Linked DNA regions of Coturnix japonica. The protein of the gene in region 3 purifies or fractionates together with the protein of the main gene of each other region. This does not show direct contact. Links are inferred from orthologs where the notes say so. Each region holds a gene or a part of one and is shown on either strand. Other genes may lie near its edges. The genes, in order: EXOC3, EXOC7 and EXOC6.

What was found.
Region 1: the proteins of EXOC6 (region 3) and EXOC3 purify together in Homo sapiens (affinity purification with mass spectrometry; 6 studies listed by BioGRID and IntAct, counting the BioPlex papers as one, with this or other methods). This does not show direct contact. The link is inferred for Coturnix japonica from reciprocal best matches to the Homo sapiens genes EXOC6 and EXOC3.
Region 2: the proteins of EXOC6 (region 3) and EXOC7 purify together in Homo sapiens (affinity purification with mass spectrometry; 4 studies listed by BioGRID and IntAct, counting the BioPlex papers as one, with this or other methods). This does not show direct contact. The link is inferred for Coturnix japonica from reciprocal best matches to the Homo sapiens genes EXOC6 and EXOC7.

The regions. Positions count from the first base shown.
Region 1 is NC_029517.1:80,101,410-80,104,136, reverse strand, and holds the end of EXOC3 (exocyst complex component 3), read right to left. Parts: intron 2,439-2,727; coding exon 2,277-2,438; intron 2,089-2,276; coding exon 1,961-2,088; intron 1,347-1,960; coding exon 1,175-1,346; 3' UTR 640-1,174; downstream 1-639. UniProt on the Homo sapiens protein: Component of the exocyst complex involved in the docking of exocytic vesicles with fusion sites on the plasma membrane.
Region 2 is NC_029533.1:3,929,974-3,933,632, reverse strand, and holds part of EXOC7 (exocyst complex component 7), read right to left. Parts: intron 2,631-3,659; coding exon 2,485-2,630; intron 2,173-2,484; coding exon 2,020-2,172; intron 1,598-2,019; coding exon 1,499-1,597; intron 936-1,498; coding exon 873-935; intron 549-872; coding exon 482-548; intron 1-481. UniProt on the Homo sapiens protein: Component of the exocyst complex involved in the docking of exocytic vesicles with fusion sites on the plasma membrane.
Region 3 is NC_029521.1:17,890,430-17,894,088, forward strand, and holds part of EXOC6 (exocyst complex component 6), read right to left. Parts: intron 3,486-3,659; coding exon 3,380-3,485; intron 2,469-3,379; coding exon 2,359-2,468; intron 1,358-2,358; coding exon 1,246-1,357; intron 29-1,245; coding exon 1-28. UniProt on the Homo sapiens protein: Component of the exocyst complex involved in the docking of exocytic vesicles with fusion sites on the plasma membrane.

The DNA.
Region 1 (2,727 bases), on a different chromosome or scaffold from region 3:
CCGCTTCCTGGGGCGGGGCGAGCGGGGCGGGGGTGATGTCAGCAGGCAGCGCCAAGCGGGGAAGCACCATGGCGACAAGAAGCCGGTGCTTCCTAAGGCCGTGCGGGCCCGGCCTGGAACCCGCGGCTTCCCTGGACTGTCTATGTAAAATCAGCTTTTACATAGAGTCATAAGGTTGGAAAGGACCTACAGGATCACCTAGTCCAGCCGCCCTCCCATTACCATACCTACAGCAAAGCACTAAACCATATCTCGTAGCTCCTCATCCAGATGCCTCTCGAACACTGACAGGGATGGTGACTCCACCACCTCCCTATGCAGCCATTCCAGTGTCTGACCACTGTCTGAGAGATAAAGCTCCTTCTTATATCCAATCTAAACCTCATCTGGTACAACTTGCGGCCATTTACTCGGGTCCTGTTTGTTGCCTGGCAGAAGAGGCCAAGCCCCTCCTCATCACAACCTCCCTTCAGGAAGTTATAGAGAGCAATAATGTCTCCCCTGAGCCTCCTCTTCTCCAGGCTGAACAATCCCAGCTCCCTCAGCCGCCCCTCATAAGGCCTGTGCTCCAGACCTTTCACTATGTAAAAGTTCATCCCCCCCCTCAGCCAAAACACAGCACACACAGCAGAACATGGCCATGGTCCAGCATTTTATTGAACAAGTGATGATTCGTGTGCTCTTTTTAGTGAATCCACAAAGACATATTGTACCTCATGCTGTTTTTAGCTATTTATTTATTCCCTCTACAGTCCCGTGGCCAGGAAGCTGGCTCCATAATTAAGGTTTTTGCCATAAACTATTTTACACCCAAGTAATTACATACACCAAGTTTAACGTGGGAGTGGAATGGGGACATTAATGTACACCCAATGCTGTGCCATGGGACGATGACTCTAGGACAGCAATATACACCCAGCACTGCCACAGCCGTGTTATTTTCAGTGTAAGTATCTTTATACATTTGCAATGCCACATTTCACGACTCAAAATGTATTTGCTGACAGCAGCATCAGCACCTGTAGAAATCTCATTATATTCCACATCTTCAGAAAGAAACAGATCTAGTGTGCATCGAATGTTACTTGAAATAGCACTGCCAAACTTGCCCTCTAATACTTCACACCCATCAATCCCACACCAGTGGGATCCCACACATGAACAGAGCTGTCCATTACTTAAGTAGTTTCGGCACAGTTAGAGTAGGAACTGTAATTTCTTTAAAAATTGGCACGTAGTTTGGGTTGGGTTGGCTTGGCCCTTGATCCAAAGTCTCGATGATAGTCTGCTTCATATCTCTGCTGGCATCTCCCCTCACCGTCAGCAAAGCCGCAATGTGGTCATCCCTGCCAAAACGCAAAGGTAAGGCTGGCATTAGCTCTTGCGGAAATAATACTGCATTGGAAATATCACACATCATCCTTCACTGACTCTAATTCATAATCAGATCTCGAGTCACAAAGAACTGGTGTTTCCAGCTACCTATAAGGCACTATTTTTGACTACGCTTAGGAATTTAAGATGCGTTTCATCCTCCCGAGACGCAACAGGAATATTCCCATTATTCCTTTGCCATACCAGTGAGTACTTAAACGCATATTGTGCCCCGGTGACACAGTGGTAGGAATGCCACTTTGCAACACCAGAGCCCGGGTTTGAATCCCCCCTGTGGCGCAAGTGGTAGAAGTGCCGCTCTGCTACACAGAGGCTCGAATCCCGGGGGTTGGACTTGATGATCTCTAAGGTCCCTTCCAACCCACATGAGACTGTGACACTGTGTGATACTGTGTTATACCTCCTAGTCCAAGACATGTACGTTTGCGATTAGCATCATTTGGAAAGAGCATCTACATTTCCAAATATGATCGATATGAACATATTACACATTGTTTTCAAATTATCCCACTGATAAGAAGAAACTGTATTACCTCTTTTTAACTTTGAAGGCAAAGAGAATTACCTGATATCTGGGTATTTACTGACTAAAGTTGAAACTTCCAGATAGAGCAGGGAAGGATCGGTTAGTTTGATAACCTCTGCAATAGCTTCAATGATATCACAGAGTCCTTCAGTGTCCTCTCCAGATCCCTGGAAAATAGTGATAAAAATAATAATGACGATGCTGTTAAATTCCCTCAGTAGTGGAAACTTTAGCCATTAAGACAAAAACCTTTGCAAACTGTCATATTAAGGCTCTTTTCTTCTGCATTTCCCTATTCCTTCCCACCCACAGATATCATTACTAAGTTAACATTGTTGTTGAAACAAATACTTACAGATGTGAGTTTCTTAAACAGAAATCTGAACTGTTCTGCTTCTTTGATCATTTTTTCTGCACCCTCTTTTCTCTCTTCTGCATTCTTGAAAGAGATGCGTTTCAACATGATGGCCCTGATGTATTCCACAACCACCCTTCGATGGGCCTCCATGGTCATCGTCTGAAAGAAAGAAGAGGAGCCTTATGCCAGTGATAACTACCAAAGTCCCCATTCTGTGCAATGATTAGGCTTTGAAACACGTTGTTGTGCTTTATATATGGTTTATATATGGTTTATAAATGGTTTGCACTAATACAGATAGTATATTAATATAATATATTAATTTAGTTAGGTACTGGAATAGGCTCCCCAGGGAGGTGGTTGAGTCACCATCCCTGGATGTGTTTAAGAGCCGTTTGGATGTGGTGCTCAGGGATATGATTTAGTGTAGGGTTGTTAGAGTTAGGGT
Region 2 (3,659 bases), on a different chromosome or scaffold from region 3:
TGAATAGCTCTCAGGAGTCCCAACCTGACAGTGGCTGGACACTGAGGAGACTGTTCTTGGTACTGCTGTTGTACTCTAACCAGAGAATGTGGCGGAGAAAGAAGGTAATTAGTCACCTTGTAGTCCAGTTACAGCTAAAAGAGGACCTTGTTCAGTACAGTCACAGGGAATTGGTTTTGTGTCAGATTTAGAGCTAATTTTCTAAGGCATCCTCTCTCAACACTACAGTATCAATCAATCTGATAAGTACCTGATAAAAGCAAATGTGGAAGGCCAGCAGAGAAATGCTCTGCACAACTTGGAGCTCTCCACACAACCAACTATATGGTCATGGCAGACTGGAGGACAGGACACACCATAAGGCAAAGGACAGGAGGAGAACCAGTTCACACAGTGCACGCTGAGGTTTGATCTTTTTAGGGAACATGTCCAGGTGATTTGGGACAGGAACTGCATGCCCAAATAAACCCCATGCATGTACCTTGAGATGCCAGCATGGCACCTGCCGTCTCCTGGAAATCCAATAATTGCTGTAGGAAAAGGATGGCCTGGAAGAGAGGAAGGGAAGTGAGGAAACACAGTCAATTGTTTTTATGCTCTGCTATTAAGGATCATGAAGGAACACATCTCTTCTTACTCAAAAGCCTTCAAAAAAGAGATTACTGTGCTCTTTTGAGTTGCTGGGTTTTACCCACACAACCACATCACATCTTAGAATAGGCAACCAGCTAATTTTTTCCATGGAAGCTGGTTAACTGCCCTTCTAACACCAAGACAGCTTAATTTAAAACCAGAAATTTCCCCGCTGCTCTCCCTAAAATCTTTTCAGGGGCTGTTTTTGACTACAAATGATTCAAATCATCATCACATACGTTGCTGGTGAGTTCATGAACTGTCCCATCTTTCGGCATGTTATATTCCTTGTCTGGATCATTCTAAGAAGAAAGAAAGAAACATATGGTGAGCACGTAAGGAAACTGAAGGCATCTACAATACAACCACTGCTGCAAGCGAGCTGTATGCTTGTTCATTTAGCCTCTCAACACCTCCATACTTGTTTCTCACAGTGCCACCTCCTGGTGCTCAGTACACTCTGGCAGCTCAGGATCACAGGGGTTTTGTTCAGGACACGACCAAAAGTTCAGCTCACTTAAAGGTCACTGCAATGACCAAACCCCACCTGATAAAGGGACAGTTTAGCCAGAGTCCTCCAAAACTTCTGAAATCAGCAATTTTCCCTTATTTTCAAGCAGGATTAAATTCTGACATTTGACTTGAATATCTTGTGGAGGCCTCTTGTATTTGAAATCAGCAGCCAGCATTCAGTAGTTGCAGCTGACCATCCAATACAATCCAGCAAGCAGAACCTCGCTTTAGAGTCAGAAAGTAGGTGCTCTCATTCATGGAAAGTGAAAAGCTCAGCTGGGAGTTCTGCTCATAAAACCTCCCTTTCTAAACTCATTTGTCTTGCTAGAGAGAACAGCAAAGGTAATCCTACCTTAATGTTGTCAGCAAACTCTTCCAGTGCCTTCGCACCAGTTGTCTCCATGGAAGTGATCAGCCCTGGCAGTTTGTTCTTTGTGCCTGCTGCAGTCCCCTGAAATAGTCCCATAACAGATCAGAGAAAGAAAACGAGCAGTAACTGACCCTTTGTCCAGCACCTATTCTTCTCTTTCCCCCCATACCCAATCATCTCATTCACCACATATCAAAAGAATATTGATAGCCCTAATCAACAATGAGTGAAATCCTGCACTCTTTGGTGTGACAGGAGAGGAAGATGATGTGACATTAATGACAACCAGGACTTGCTCCCTCTCTTGTATCTCTTCTTGTGCAGTACCTAACAGAGCAGGCTGGTGAATCAGTCATCAGCTCCAGCTGGAATCAGATGGAAAAGAGCCCTGCTAAACCTGGATGCCATGTCTGATACCTGGATCACCTCAAGGCATGGTCCAAGCAGGCTTTCCTCAGAGGAATTGATAGTCATACGATTGCTTTTACTCCTATCGTACTCACCTGCAAGACCTGGTCAAATTCTGGCTTCATCTGCTTGAGGTGCTTGAGGATAGGGAAGATGGTGAGCACAGCTGAATAGTCATGTCGGATGATGGCTTTCCGGGCTGCTGAGACAATGTTATCGCCCTCCATGATCAAGTTATCTAATGACTCCTGTAACAAAGCCAGACAGTCAGAAGTAAGCAGTGGCTTCTGCCCAAGCAACATAAGGGGCTGCTCAGAACCCATCAAGTATGTAAATTTAGCTGCTGGGTCACTTGTGGTACCCAGACACAGAGCACACATTCTCTATGACCAGCCACACTGGTTCCCAGCACAGGTCTGGGAAGACAGCATTAACAGTGCTGGTGCTCTTGGGTCATCCACAGCAGATGGAAGAATCCACATCCTCGTAATGAAAAAGCAGGGAAAAAGAATTTGTATGGATTCTTTATAAGGGATACCAAGGCAAGAGGCCCAACTGACCTGGATGAGGGAATCAAAAGTCTTCTTCTGGTGGTGCTCTGGGACGATCTCTGTCAGGAGCTGGTACTCACTCTGGGCCAGTTTGACAAAGGCACTCACACAGTGAATATAGGCATCGATCTCGATGTCGAACACATCATCCCTCCCTGTAAGGGCAAGATGTTTTTAAGAGAACCAATTATGCACTGAACTTCCAGCAGCTCTGCTCGCTCCAAGGCCTCAGGTTACACAAAAAGCACACAGTTCTTCTTAAACAAGCAGTGCTGGCTTTGTCCCCTTGGTTTGTGCATGGAAAGCTCTGCACACCCCAAAGGAGGCATGCAGAGTCATCTGTGGTTCAAGAAACTGACACAGCAGGATAACATCAACTCTTCCCAGCCTCGTGACAGAAGGCAAGTTTGAAACTCTTCTGGGATGCAAACTTAATTTAAACAAGGGCTTGAACAAAGAGTACTACACTAAGGATGGTCTGAGGTGAATTATTCAGCGCCTCTCCTTGTATTTTTAGGCTTCCTTATCCCCATTTGTCTGGTAGATGAAGAACTGGCACACTGCATCCGCATTTCTGGGAAATCAAGGCTGTACTGGAAGGCAGCCTCTTCCCATAGGCAGTAACTAAAGAGAACAACAGGCAGAAGGACAACTAAAACCTATGAAGCAGGAATACAGACACAGTTAGGTGAGGTATCTGCCACAAAATGTTGCGTACAAATGTGAATATTCAAATTCAAAGAGTATGAATGTGTCAAGACCCAGCAAGGAACCTATAGAGGAGGCATAAGAAGTGCCAGTAAGATACAAAGGCACACACCAACTCATGCCAGCCACTGGCTGGATTTGTCAACAGGACAGACACAAACGGACTCACATCATCCTGCAGAACTCAGATTCCTGTAGTAACCATTATAGAACAGCAAAATTAATGCAGAGAGGCCTTCTCTGAGCTGCAGGCTGCTGCCTCCCTCCTGCCAGCAGCATCAGCAACTATAGATGGAGAAAGAAGCAACACTGACAGGTACCTCGGGATGATCTTTTAAAGGTTCTGGTCAGCAAGTGACAAGCAAATGTGATGTGGTATTACACACAGCCTATGGTGTACTACCTGCCACATGTGATCCCTGTTTGCTTCACTTCAGCACTAACCAAGCCAGCAGCTACCTGCAGAAAAGAGCACC
Region 3 (3,659 bases):
GCGTTGTGTTTATGATGATTTGAACAAGCTACAAGAAACAAATAATTATAATAAAATGCCTTTTTCTATTATTCATTGACATTTGATTTTTGTAAATGGGGGCTTCTTTCAGAAACAGTGTTGCCAGAAGTTTACTGCAGTATTTCAGGCTATCAGCTATCAACTGACAACATTCAAGTTAGCTTTCAAATACCGGTAAGGAGTAATGCCACAGTTTACATACAAATGCCATTTTAAAAAAAATGAAGATTGTAGATATCTACCCAGTGAAATTAATTCAACTGTTATTTCAGAATTTAAAAAAGGGGAAAATAAAGGATAACATATTGCCAAAATTAAATCACTAATTCATACTACAAAAGCAAGGAAACAAGAAAGCAAACATCATTGCTGCAATTAAAATAAATAAATACATCAATACATAAAAGCAATGTAGTAAGAAGTTCGGAAATTTCAAATATATGACTGCATCCCCCCCTAAATGGTAATAATACTGCTCTAGAAATAAATATGCACGATACTGATATTATTTACATCTTTTTATAGGCAGGACTTTCATTCATGTTCAGTTCATAAATTACACAACACAGATGCTGCATAATAACTGAAACAGTGGTGTATGATTTCTAATATCTTCACTACTTGCAGTCTGGCTCCAGTACCTTTTAGTGAACACTAATCTAATGTTAGGAAAAGTAACAGCTTTGTATTTTAAACTTTTTTATTATAACATACCATCCTGATATTTAAATACCTAAAAAATATTAGTGATTTTTTCATATTCTGTACCAATTTCAAGAATGTAGAAAACTTTCTCAGAATAATTTTATAGCTTGGCATACAAGTGTGTCAATATACAAATTAGAACCTTTCCCTCCTCATGATCTTCTTTTTATTTCATTTACACAAGAGATCCTTGCCATTTTTAAAGCAAAACTAAACATGAAAATTGCACTGCACTCATGGCAGCAGTCTAACTCCTTCCAGTAGCACAAGCATCATCCTTCAGTTCCAACTAGATCCACATTGGTTTTGATTGTTTGGTTGTTTTTGTTTATGTCACAGCCATTGACCCTTTTTTTTGTTAATACATTCCTCATCTCTTTAAAATTTCAATTTTAAAGTAAGCACTACTTATTTTCGTTACATAATCTCAATACTATATAATATCCACATTTACAAGAATAGTTTTAGCACCAATTTCCTTACAAGAATGCAGTTCTGGGTGAGTATTTTAAAACTTACCTCTGTTAAACCTATGTGAGGTTTCTTAATTAGGTTCTGTAAACAACTACTGAGAGTTCTTGTTAGCAGCAGATTCGTTGATTTTCTAAGCATGTCATCTATTTCCGTTGAGCTGAAATAAAAGTACATTTTTAAAACATGACAATACTTTGACAGTAAAACTCTATTTCTTCCTTACAAAGAGAACTTTTAGTATTCAGAATTATCCATGTGCTTGAATTTCTGGTTGCTTCAAGCCATCTGTGATCTAACACAAAACACCTCTTTCATTTACCAAATTATCCATTAACTACATTTCAACGTTGCAGAAAACCTGTTATTTTTAGATTTTGGACGTGTTTATTGACACAGCAGTTAGGAAGGAGTAATTTGTGTTTTGTAATGAGTTACCATGGAGGTCAACATGCACCAATTAGTACGTGTAAATTATAAACAGTAACAATTAAGAACGTGTGAAAGCAATTCATTTACATCTTTAACGGAGCAGAAGTGGGTGAGCAGTCACAAATAACTCCCAGATTTCAGACCTGCCACGTTATTTTACATAATTATAACTGAGCTTTAAAGCTTCACAAGAAAACAGGAGATGTCAGAAATGTTATATTTTCCTTTGGGAAAAGGTGGGAAAGAAGAGGGAATTAGCATGCAGACAGCATGTTGTGTTACAGGAAAAATAATTACTAGGGAAACTCAAAGCAGTGAAAATTGTAAGGTGTTTAAAGTAATCAGGGATGCTACACAATTATTTCTGAAATGATAATTATTAAAGTATACAGGCTTTGTTAAACAACAACAAAAAAATCTCCAGATTATCCAAATCAGTCAATACTGTTAAAAAAGCCCTAATGCTGCTTTGGTGTGTTCACTACACTAAGCAAAATTCATTTACACATACATGCATTCCATACCTACATGTATATACATACATGAAATATATATCATAGCACTGGGAATCACAGATAAAATATAACAAATTACACATGTAATTTAAGAAACAAACAAAGCAAGTAAGCACCCAGGAAAACCTATTTTCAATTTAATACAAATTATTAGTTTACCTGGAAGTTATGGGATAGTTTATACTCATTTGCATTCACAGTACTTATAGATTACCTGCGGTGAAGTGATTCTGAAAACTTAAGGCTTGCATAAATGAATTCCTTAACCTGGATATATATCTGAGGCACTGACTGAGACATCGGGAGCTTCTTTGGAAAGGACTGCTGTAAAAATAAAGATAATCCTCTGATTCTAAGGAGAGATTGGTATTAAATACTGGAAAATCACTTACCAATATTTCACCTATCATAAGTTTTTCCATTTTAAACCAAATATATTCTGTGGTGTGTATTGAACTGATTTCTGTATCCGTTTAAATACATTAAAGTTTGGAGTGTTGATTGTTCTCTATCAGCTATCTTCCTGCTGAATCATAAAATTAGATTCCATTTTCAGGTAGGTATCTGCAGCAGTGCATCTTGATTAAACCAGCTTCCCTCTACACCAACTACTCTCACTGTGCTTTAATTTCCTTATGTAAATTCTACCATGGGTTTGTTATTACTTGATCAGTTCCATCAAAACCACTTTCAGAAGGCAGAACATACTAATCACCCTTCCATGAAAGAAAATTTTAGAGAGAATGGCTGACGCTAAGAAAGAATATCCCACTGGGATGTCAGTACAGCAGAATTCTTTACAGCCTCTTCATATCTACTTTGTCCCACATATTCAGATAATAAATAACTAATTTACAAAGTGAAATAATGAAGTTGCTATCTCTAATACATTCCTGATGATCATTACCTGCATTGCTGCAAAACCACAGCATACAACATACCATGGGTTACAAAACCCAATGTTTTGCAACAAAATCTAAGTTAACTCATTAAATAAAGACTGGATTGATTAAAATGAATTATTAGTTTACAAAACAGTAGGTCTCATTATTCACTCAAACATCAGAGCAAGTGATTAGAGCTTTAATTTTCCTATTTATTTATGAATACATAATTACACTCTTAATCTACCAAGCTTTTCTATTTTTAATTACTTTCTAATTAGAAATATAATTTCTGTTCTAACCATTCCGAATTGGATTTTGGCAAATCTTAATAACAAAACTTTTCCTTACCTTATCAAGTTCTGAATCTTGAAAAGGAAATTTGCTTATAACTATTTTGTATTCTTCTTCATTTGCTACAGGAATAGGGCTGTAGTTATCTGCTTCAAAAATATCCCTGGCAAATTAGTTAATAAAGCGAAAAAACAAGAATATTTAATTTATTAATAGTATTTTACAATAATAAAGCATACTAATGAATATACAAATTACTACTACATTTACGTGTGCAATGTTAAAATATTATGAACTGGAATCATTCTAGTTTCAAAAGTCTGAAATATGTTTAGAT